2 linked regions of the Nothobranchius furzeri genome follow. The protein of the gene in region 1 purifies or fractionates together with the protein of each later gene. This does not show direct contact. Links are inferred from orthologs where the notes say so. Each region holds a gene or a part of one and is shown in the gene's direction. Other genes may lie near its edges. The genes, in order: nod2 and xiap.

What was found.
Region 2: the proteins of nod2 (region 1) and xiap purify together in Homo sapiens (affinity purification with western blotting; 3 studies listed by BioGRID and IntAct, with this or other methods). This does not show direct contact. The link is inferred for Nothobranchius furzeri from reciprocal best matches to the Homo sapiens genes NOD2 and XIAP.

Annotation. Positions count from the first base shown.
Region 1 is NC_091749.1:70,956,195-70,960,655, forward strand, and holds the start of nod2 (nucleotide-binding oligomerization domain-containing protein 2), read left to right. Parts: upstream 1-1,551; 5' UTR 1,552-1,687; coding exon 1,688-2,164; intron 2,165-3,206; coding exon 3,207-3,333; intron 3,334-4,461. UniProt on the Homo sapiens protein: Pattern recognition receptor (PRR) that detects bacterial peptidoglycan fragments and other danger signals and plays an important role in gastrointestinal immunity.
Region 2 is NC_091741.1:25,549,362-25,553,633, forward strand, and holds the start of xiap (E3 ubiquitin-protein ligase XIAP), read left to right. Parts: upstream 1-1,245; 5' UTR 1,246-1,404; intron 1,405-2,549; 5' UTR 2,550-2,599; coding exon 2,600-2,839; intron 2,840-2,925; coding exon 2,926-3,451; intron 3,452-3,553; coding exon 3,554-3,653; intron 3,654-3,742; coding exon 3,743-3,821; intron 3,822-4,128; coding exon 4,129-4,168; intron 4,169-4,272.

The DNA of each region.
Region 1 (4,461 bases):
CAAACGTTTTGTCACCATTTGTTGCAAATCAGTAAACGCATTTAGTCCTCATGGGCTACCGTAGTTGGAAACATGGCATCTAATATGGCATTGCAGAGAGAGAGACTTAGACCCGCTCCCATGTATTTTAGACCTGCATCATTTGATTCACTTTCAACAACAGTTTGATGGATATTTCCAGAAATTAAAGGTAAAAACTACACATTGTCTCTTTAAGATCCTCCTTCTCACATATAAAGCTCTCAATAATCAAGCTCCATCATACATCAGTAACCTGATTGTTCCATATGTTCCTAACACGGGCAACAACCTAATGGAGCGACGGTGGCACAGGAGTTAAGTGCTTGCTCTGTAAATGGAAGGTTGCAGGTTCGAGCCCCGCTCAGTCTGTCGCGGTCGTTGTCTCCTTGGGCAAGACACTTAACCCACCTTGCCTGCTGGTGGTGTTCGGAGGGACCGGTGGCGCCTACGTACAACAGACTCACCTCTGTCAGTGCGCCCCAGGGCAGCTGTGGCTACAATGTAGCTCATCAACACCAGTGTGTGAATGTGTGTGTGAATGGGTGAATAACTGATTGTGTTTTAAAGCACCTTGGGGGGTTCCAGGAATCTAGAAGGTGCTATATCAAATACAGGCCATTTACTATAACAGAGCACTTATATTTTTAATTAAAATATAGCTTTTAAAGGAAATATTGTATCTTCATTCTGCACACCTCTAAACGCCCCGTGGAGGTATTATTAAAACAATGTATAGCTTTTTATGAAATTGCTCCATATTCAACCTTTAATGTACAAACTACTCAAATAAATAAAATAACATAAAAATACAAGTAAAAAACAATTGAGTAAAAAAATAAAGCTAGTGAAAAACTGAGTAAATGTTTGACCACAACGGCTGATTTAATTTATCCACTTTTTAAATCAGATAAATACATGTTTTAAATGATATGTTAACTTATTATTAGATAGTTTTAGGGGCAAAATTGAAGATAAGTAAAATGTAATAACCGCACTTTAAGATGACAAATGAGCCCACAGGGGCGTAGATTTGGCATCCAGCGATGACCAAATTCTCCCCACCATTAGTCTGACTGCCAACGTTAAAAAAAACCAACAAGCCAGAGGAGCAGAAAGGGTTAAAGGACCTACCTCTGTGTTGCACATGGCCAGGATGAGATGTAGGTTTATCAAGTCCCCACAAGCAGATGAGCTCGAGCCTCCTGGTTTGGTTTTTGTTGTGGAACACCGCCATCTAGTGGCTCCAACACCAAGTTACAAGTGGTTTAGATCTGTGTTTTACTTTTGATTTCCCTGAAACACATTAGTGTTGGTTTGTTTAAACATTTTAAACAATATCCTGTCAAATCAAATTCATGAGGATGCTTAAGCTTTATGGTAGTTCAGCCATTGTTTACTTTCTGCTCCACTGGAGCTGCTTGGCAAACAGACCAGGTTTCGGTTTTTAGACGAGGAATGAGGAAGAGGTGGTTGAACGGTCCTTTTGGGTTGATGAGGGCTGGAGAGAAGGCAGTCAGTCGCTTTGTGTTTACAGGTGAGAGCGAGTCTTCTAGTCTGTTGAAGGGGGACACTAGAGGAAATCTGATTTCTGTGCTTTCCTGATGGACTGGTTGGTACCAGATGTGAAGCTGAAGGATTGAAGCATGGGAGCTGATAAGACTGAAGCATGCTTGCTCAGGAGCTGCTGCTGAAACAGCGTTCAGAGGTTCTCCACGCCCTCTGCAGGAGCGGCTCAGCTGAGCACCTGGAAAGGGTTCTGGACGTGCTGCTGGCTCAGGGGGAGCTGGGATGGGAGGACTACCAGAGCATTCAAGTCCCGGGGAGGGCCCTGCACACCAACGCCAGGCAGCTGCTCGACCTGCTTTATACAAAAGGTGAGGAAGCCTGCAGAATCTTCTTCGCTGCTGTCAATCAGGTCTTTCCAGAAGGCCAAAGAGTTGGCCTGTCCTCAGGATGTCCCCCACCTTTAGAGGACAGAGTTCAGAAGACGTCTGCAGAGACAGTTCTAATACAACGGCTGAGTTTGGTCTGCAAGCTTCAGGACTGTGTGGATGGTGCTCTGGAAGCTCTCCTGGAATCAGGTCACTTTTCCTCAGAGGAACGAGATGAGGTCCTGCTGCCTGTTCACACCCCGTCTCAACAGGTAAAAAAGGCATTTGTAAACACATCTCCTCCATTTTGTGCTCTTTTGTCACTTACTGTTTTTGATTGACGGAGGTAGCTGGTGCAGAATACGGTTTCCAAGACGACTGGATTCATATAAGTAGGACATATCGTAATATGACTAAACTCACCTTTGTGCCACCACCTATAAACACTCCAAACCTGAAAGTGCCCGTCCATCTGTCGGGGTTTGGCTTCAGGGAGTATTTGCGAAATATAAACGGTTTGAAAAAGTCCCTGTTTGTGATGTCATAATAAGGGAATCGCTGATTGACGCAGACATCAAAGGTCAAATGTCCATCAGCAGGATACCAGAGAACCAAATTCATGATTCCATCAGTTACAACCAGTCGTCAAGAATCCCCAAAAGGGTTTAAATGTTGTTCTGGGTTCTTATGTTCTTGGATTTCTAGAACAGGTCATGATGTTGGCTTTTTGAGATCTTTTAGCCTTCTTTGTGGTGTCAGGCAGCTTCTTTTGAAGGGATTTGAAAACTTGTTTTGTGAAACATAGTTTCACCCTTATGTCATCATGTCCTTATTTGGGCTGTACCAACTTCCTGTTTAGTCCACTCTAAGATGCTAGTTTGGAGCTTTAGAGCTCTGCGTGGACGAGAACGTCCACATCTCCAGCAGGTCCCTGGGGTTGTTCCATCTGGGTCTGATGGAAATTAGGGTTCTCCCTCTGATCCTGAGCCTGTGGCTTCTTTTTAACATTCATTCTGACCCGTTTTTTTTAGGTATGAAGTGATTTATCTGGAAAGCTTTGGTGTAAAAAGCCATAAACCCGCAGACGGGTCAGACATGTGACTGAAGGATAGAGGAGATTTTAGTACAGCGACTGCTAAATTAGGGTTTTACTTCTGCACATCACCTCGTTTCCTCCACAGCTTCCTGTCTGAAGCTCTAATCGGGTGCGCCGAGCCGTTTCCTGTGCAGTTATCTCCTCTAAAATGTGAATTTAAAAAGTGGAACTGCTGCTTTCGGCCTCGGGTAAATTTGTTCTCGTTCAAACCCAACCAGGCCCGGCGTTTGCTCGATCACGTCGGATCCAAAGGGGAGTCTGCGGCGTCAGCTCTTCTTCAGTTCATCCAGCGAAGACAGGAATCTGGATCCCAGCAGAACCAGAGGGAACTGGAAATCCCTAAAGGTATCGTGTCTTCCGGGTCAAAAGTCTGCCAGTCCACCTCAGCACCAAAATACTCTAAAACTATTAAAGGTATTGGTCCACCAGACCGATATGTTGGTTGATTTGTCCATTGATTCATATTTTATTTATTCTGAAGTGTAGAAATGTACAAATATTAGCTAAAGAGGTTCCTGAACAGCCTCAGTGGGGAGAAATAGGGTTACATGGTGGCACAGGAGTTAAGTGCTCGCCCCGTAATCGGAAGGTTGCAGGTTCGAGTCCCGCTCAGTCTGTCGCTGTCGTTGTGTCCTTGGGCAAGACACTTAACCCACGTTGCCTGCTGGTGGTGGTCGGAGGGACTGGTGGCGCCAGTGCTCGGCAGCCTCGCCTCTGTCAGTGCGCCCCAGGGCAGCTGTGGCTACATTGTAGCTCATCCCCACCAGTGTGTGAATGTGTGTGTGAATGGGTGAATGACTGATTGTGTTGTAAAGCGCCTTGGGGGGTTCCAGGACTCTAGAAGGCGCTATATCAAATACGGGCCATTTACCATTTACCATTTACATCCTACAGCTCTGGTTCTCAGGACCTCGTTGTTCAATGAGTTTGGAAATTAAGGATGATCCAGAACTTTGGTAAACAGGAAAATTATTTTTATTATAATTGATATAATTGATAATTGATAAAGGCTAAATTTAAATATTAATAATAATGCATTGAACTTAAATAGCTCTTTTCTAGACACCCAAAGACGCTTTCACACACTCTCACATTCACACACTGCTAGTGATGGTAAGCTACTTGTAGCCACAGCCGCCCTGGGGAGGTCTGACAGAGGCGAGGCTGCCATTTGGCGCCGTCGGCCCCTCTGACCACCACTAACACAGGCATGTTGGGTGAAGTGTCTTGCCCAAGGACACAACAGCAGGATTCCCCTGGCGGGAGCTGGAATCGAACCCACGACCCTCCGATCATGAGGCAACCCGCTCTACCACCTGAGCTACAGCTGCCCCAAATATTAGCTATTGACTAGTAGAACAGTCCAAGTAGTTGTGTTTTAGTGTTTGACCTATTTAGTCATTGAACCAGATATTTGGGCCCAGAAGTCTTAGGTTCTGCATGAAATGGTTAATTTAACAGAAATATGAATGA
Region 2 (4,272 bases), on another chromosome or scaffold:
CAATCCTATTATATTATTATATTATTATAATCCAATTTAGAACTCAAATGAAAAAGGCATAAGTGCAGAACTTGAGTAACCCTTTCCAATCAAGCATGATTTATTGTCTTTGGGCTAGTTTTTGAGCAACAGGCGTTCTGAATTTAAGCATTAGATGTTGGCATGCCTGACAATGAAAAATGTTCTTTCCACACAACTCTGACCTGTAAGGTCCAAACCTAAAGACAAAACATGCCATTTTCACACAGATTACCCCTTTTCAAAGCAGCCGTATGCAAACCAACTCTAAAATCAGCTGGTTCACACCTGTCGGAAAAAGTGGACTGATCATACCTAACATCATAATAATGATGATTCAACAAAAACCTGACTGGAGTGGGTTTTAGAATACCAAGTGATCGTTTATGAAGTTATTGTTATACCACAGGTAGTTTCTGAGTAAAGTTACAGCTAAGCTAAACTTGATGAGGCACATTCAAACTATGCTGTTTATGTTTTCTTAGAAAATATGTATCTGTGAAGATGATCATAACATAACAGAGATAGAAAATGTATCTTCTCCATTCTAAATTATAAGAATACCTGTGAACCCCCACCCCCTAAAAAAATCCCTAACGATTTACTGGAAATGCATGGGGCAGACCAATGCTCGTGTTTTATTTGACTACTACGGCAACTTTTAGTTTGAATCAAAAAGTTGACATGCATAATCACCAATATGGAAAATTATCTCAGGTTGATATATGACTGTTAAAGAGTATAGTTATTTTATGTATCCCATTAGCTTTCACTGGCATTTATTTCTGTTGGTGACAGATGCAGGTTGTATTATCAGTCCCTACCCTGTGCCTTGAGTTTCTCTGCTCCAACACCAGGTCCATCGGTTGAATCACCTCTTCAGCAGCTCTGTAACCTTTCAATTACTTGCTGATACAATCAGGTGAGAGAGCAGATAAACCTCAGATAAACATGGAGGCCCTCAAAACAAGAGATGACCGCCACTGTCCTAACAATCCTGATTAAAAATGGTCACTAATATTGTAGGTATAAGATTATGACCTTCAGACATTGTTTGAGGTGCATGATGGGATTACATTAAAATTTTAAATGAACGCTTTTTGCTGGTTACTGACCATATTTAGGCAACCCTAAAGTATGTTGGCAGTTGATAGTAGACGGCATGTTTCTGTGAAACACCCACGTGGGCGTACTTTGATCATGTGACTGAAGAGGCGGGGCCAAATGTTCTAGGTTCCCAGATTCCTCCCTTTGCTTTCGCTTCCTCATAGTTTTTATAAAACAAACTGAGCTCTTTAATCATCCTATTCTGCTCCAGGTCAAGTTCACACTAAAGACAGACTAAAGTTACAAGCTGAAGACCGGAACCAAAAGGGGCGCGTGAAGGTAAATACCGTAGTTTTCCGGCTACGGTCGATTTAGGCAACTGCGCAAATTAGCAAACAAGCTAACGAAGCTAGCTAACTGACACTTTAGCAAACTGTCAAAACCCAAAGTCACTATCTCGACATTACGCACCTACATCAAAGCAGCTGATGTGTTTATTTTTAGAATGCAGGCTTATTGAAATGCGTGTCCTTGAATAATATAGGCTAGTTTTTAGCTTTTGGTAACTCGAGCATCCACGTTTAAGCAAGGGTCACCAGCATAGAGAGCTACTTCATGTGTACTGAGCCACATTAAGGGCTACCAGGATTCTACAGTTCTGACATTTGAACTGGAATAGATCAGAGTTAAACCAAACTTCATTTATAATAAATATATTTTATTTATTTGGAAGGATTTGTAGTTTTAAAATCAATATTGATGCATTTGTAATTAAAAAAGAAGGCTGCAGATTTGTATTTCGTTTTAGATATTTGCCATTTAAAGAAGTGGCTTTATATTATGCCAGGAGGCACCATGGTGCAGTATCGTAAATTGTGCATGTTTGTCATACGGTTAAACACACATTAAGTTGTGACACACTCGTGATCATGGTGACTACTTTTTTTTTTTATAAAGATTGCCAACAACAGTGCAAAGATCAAAAGCTGATCCTCATCAATAAAGCATCTCAGATAAAATCATACTAGATGTTACAGTTTTAGGACTAAGCCTCCACCATGTAGTGGGCTTTCTGAGTATTTGGGTTGTGAGAACACATTTTCCATGTGCCAGTGTAGAGGTGGCAAAACTATTCCCCCCATCCTGCTTTCTTAGCTGGCGTGCTTTGATCTTGGGTCATTAGCCCGTGTACAGCATGTACTGTGACTCCTTATTACAGCAAATACTTTATCAGTGTTTGTCACTGTTGTGTATAATCTATTTAGGAATGCTGCTTTAGTGTAGATTGTATCAGGTTACGCCCTTTGCACCGCCTTTCCTGTTCCCATGCCTCACACAGAGTATCCAGCACCAGCATGTGATTATAGCCTGGCTGCCTCTCCCAAAGGCTTAGCCTGGATGCTCAAACCAGCTCCCTGTTGTTTTAATTCAAGTACATTTAGGACTTTTGACTAACCTTCAAATCTGCTTGTCTTTCTCCTCAGACTTCATACATTCAGTAGCTGTATCTATCCAGGAAGGTCCTAGTTCAATTATGTGTGATAATGAAGAAAATGAGCATCTGGAATCAGATGGTGCTATGGATTTTTCATTGCTCAACAATCGCCTGAACTCCTTCCGCCGCTCCATCCTGGCTGAGCAAGTTCCAGCTGAACGACTGGCACGAGCAGGCTTCTACTTCACCGGCAACGCAGACCGCGTCCGCTGTTTCAGCTGCAAGAAGACTGTGGAGAACTGGACCAGCGATGACACGCCTGTGGAGCGGCACAAGGAGGTAGATCATGGATTCAAAGTGTTGAACGATTGTGACTTTTTGTTCTGCTTTAGAGGTTTAAATAATGATCTCTCTTCCTGGTACAGGTTTCTCCAACGTGCTTGTTTCTCAAATGCTGCCACCGAACCAGTTTCAACCCGAGCTTTCATAACCCGCTCACTAATGGCTACAACGAGGCTGCAGAACACATGGAGTATCGTTTGTTAACTGGAGCCGTGACTGACGACACCATGTACCCTAAAGCCCCTCAGATGGCGTCTGAGGAAGCCCGCCTTCAGACCTTTTCCTCGTGGCCCGTTGATTCTCTTATGAGACCCAGAGACCTGGCACAAGCTGGTTTCTTTTATTTGATGAATGCTGACCGAGTGCGGTGTTTCTGTTGTGGTGGCGAGCTGAGTGACTGGGAACCAGAAGACAATGCTTGGAGTGAACATTCCAAACATTATCCAAACTGCTTCTTCATACTTGGGCATGATGTGGGGAATGTGCCGCTTCAGGAGAGCAGTTCTCAGGTCTCCATGGAGAGTTTTGAGGGGAGACTTGGCAGCTTTGCTGGTCTCCAGCTCCCTGTTGACCACAAGAGTCTCGCCACGGCGGGCTTCTACAGCTTAGGTACAGCGCCATCGTCATCTGTGGACAAAACTCATACAAAAATGAGTCACTGTTATATCGTTGTTCTGATTTTGTTTTGACACATCTGATTTGTGCTTACAGGAATGGGAGATAGGGTGATGTGTTTCAGTTGTGGTGGGAGTTTGAAAGGTTGGCAGCCTGGGGAAGACCCCTGGGAACAACACGCCAAATACTACCCAGGGTTAGAGGAAACATCTGTCTTTTCTTGGCAATAAAAATTCATTATGGAGACATTTTTATTTATGCTGCTGTAACTTTCTTCCCCATTAGATGCAGCTTCTTGTTGGCAGAAAAAGGAGTAGAATTTGTCAACAGCATCCAACTAAATGGACCCAAACAAAGTAGAGCTGTAAGCAATCTCCTTCTTTTTTTCTTGCTATTGTGATTATATGACAAACCATAGCTTGTAACTTTACCTGTCAATCTGATTCCCAAGTCCCTTTATTTATAAAAAATAAACAATGAAAAGGTTTGAATCAGCTGGAATTGTGTTTTAAATCATTTTACTTGTATTTGGTGTGTTTTAGTGAACTTTATGGAACATAAGGAACCAAATGTACTTCTCTTTAGGTCTCGGAAAATGACTGTGATGCCCTGAATCATTAGTAAATTTGGTTTGTTCAAGCTGGAAAATAATAACCTGTTTTTGCTTCCAGGTCTCAAATCCTCAGAATGGGCTTTTGGGCGCTGAAAATGGTAAATATATATTTTGATACAGTGTCTCTTATTATAAAATACAAAAAAAAAGCTTTATTAAGCTGTTTTTATCTAAATATATCAAACCAGGCTAGTGTAACTGG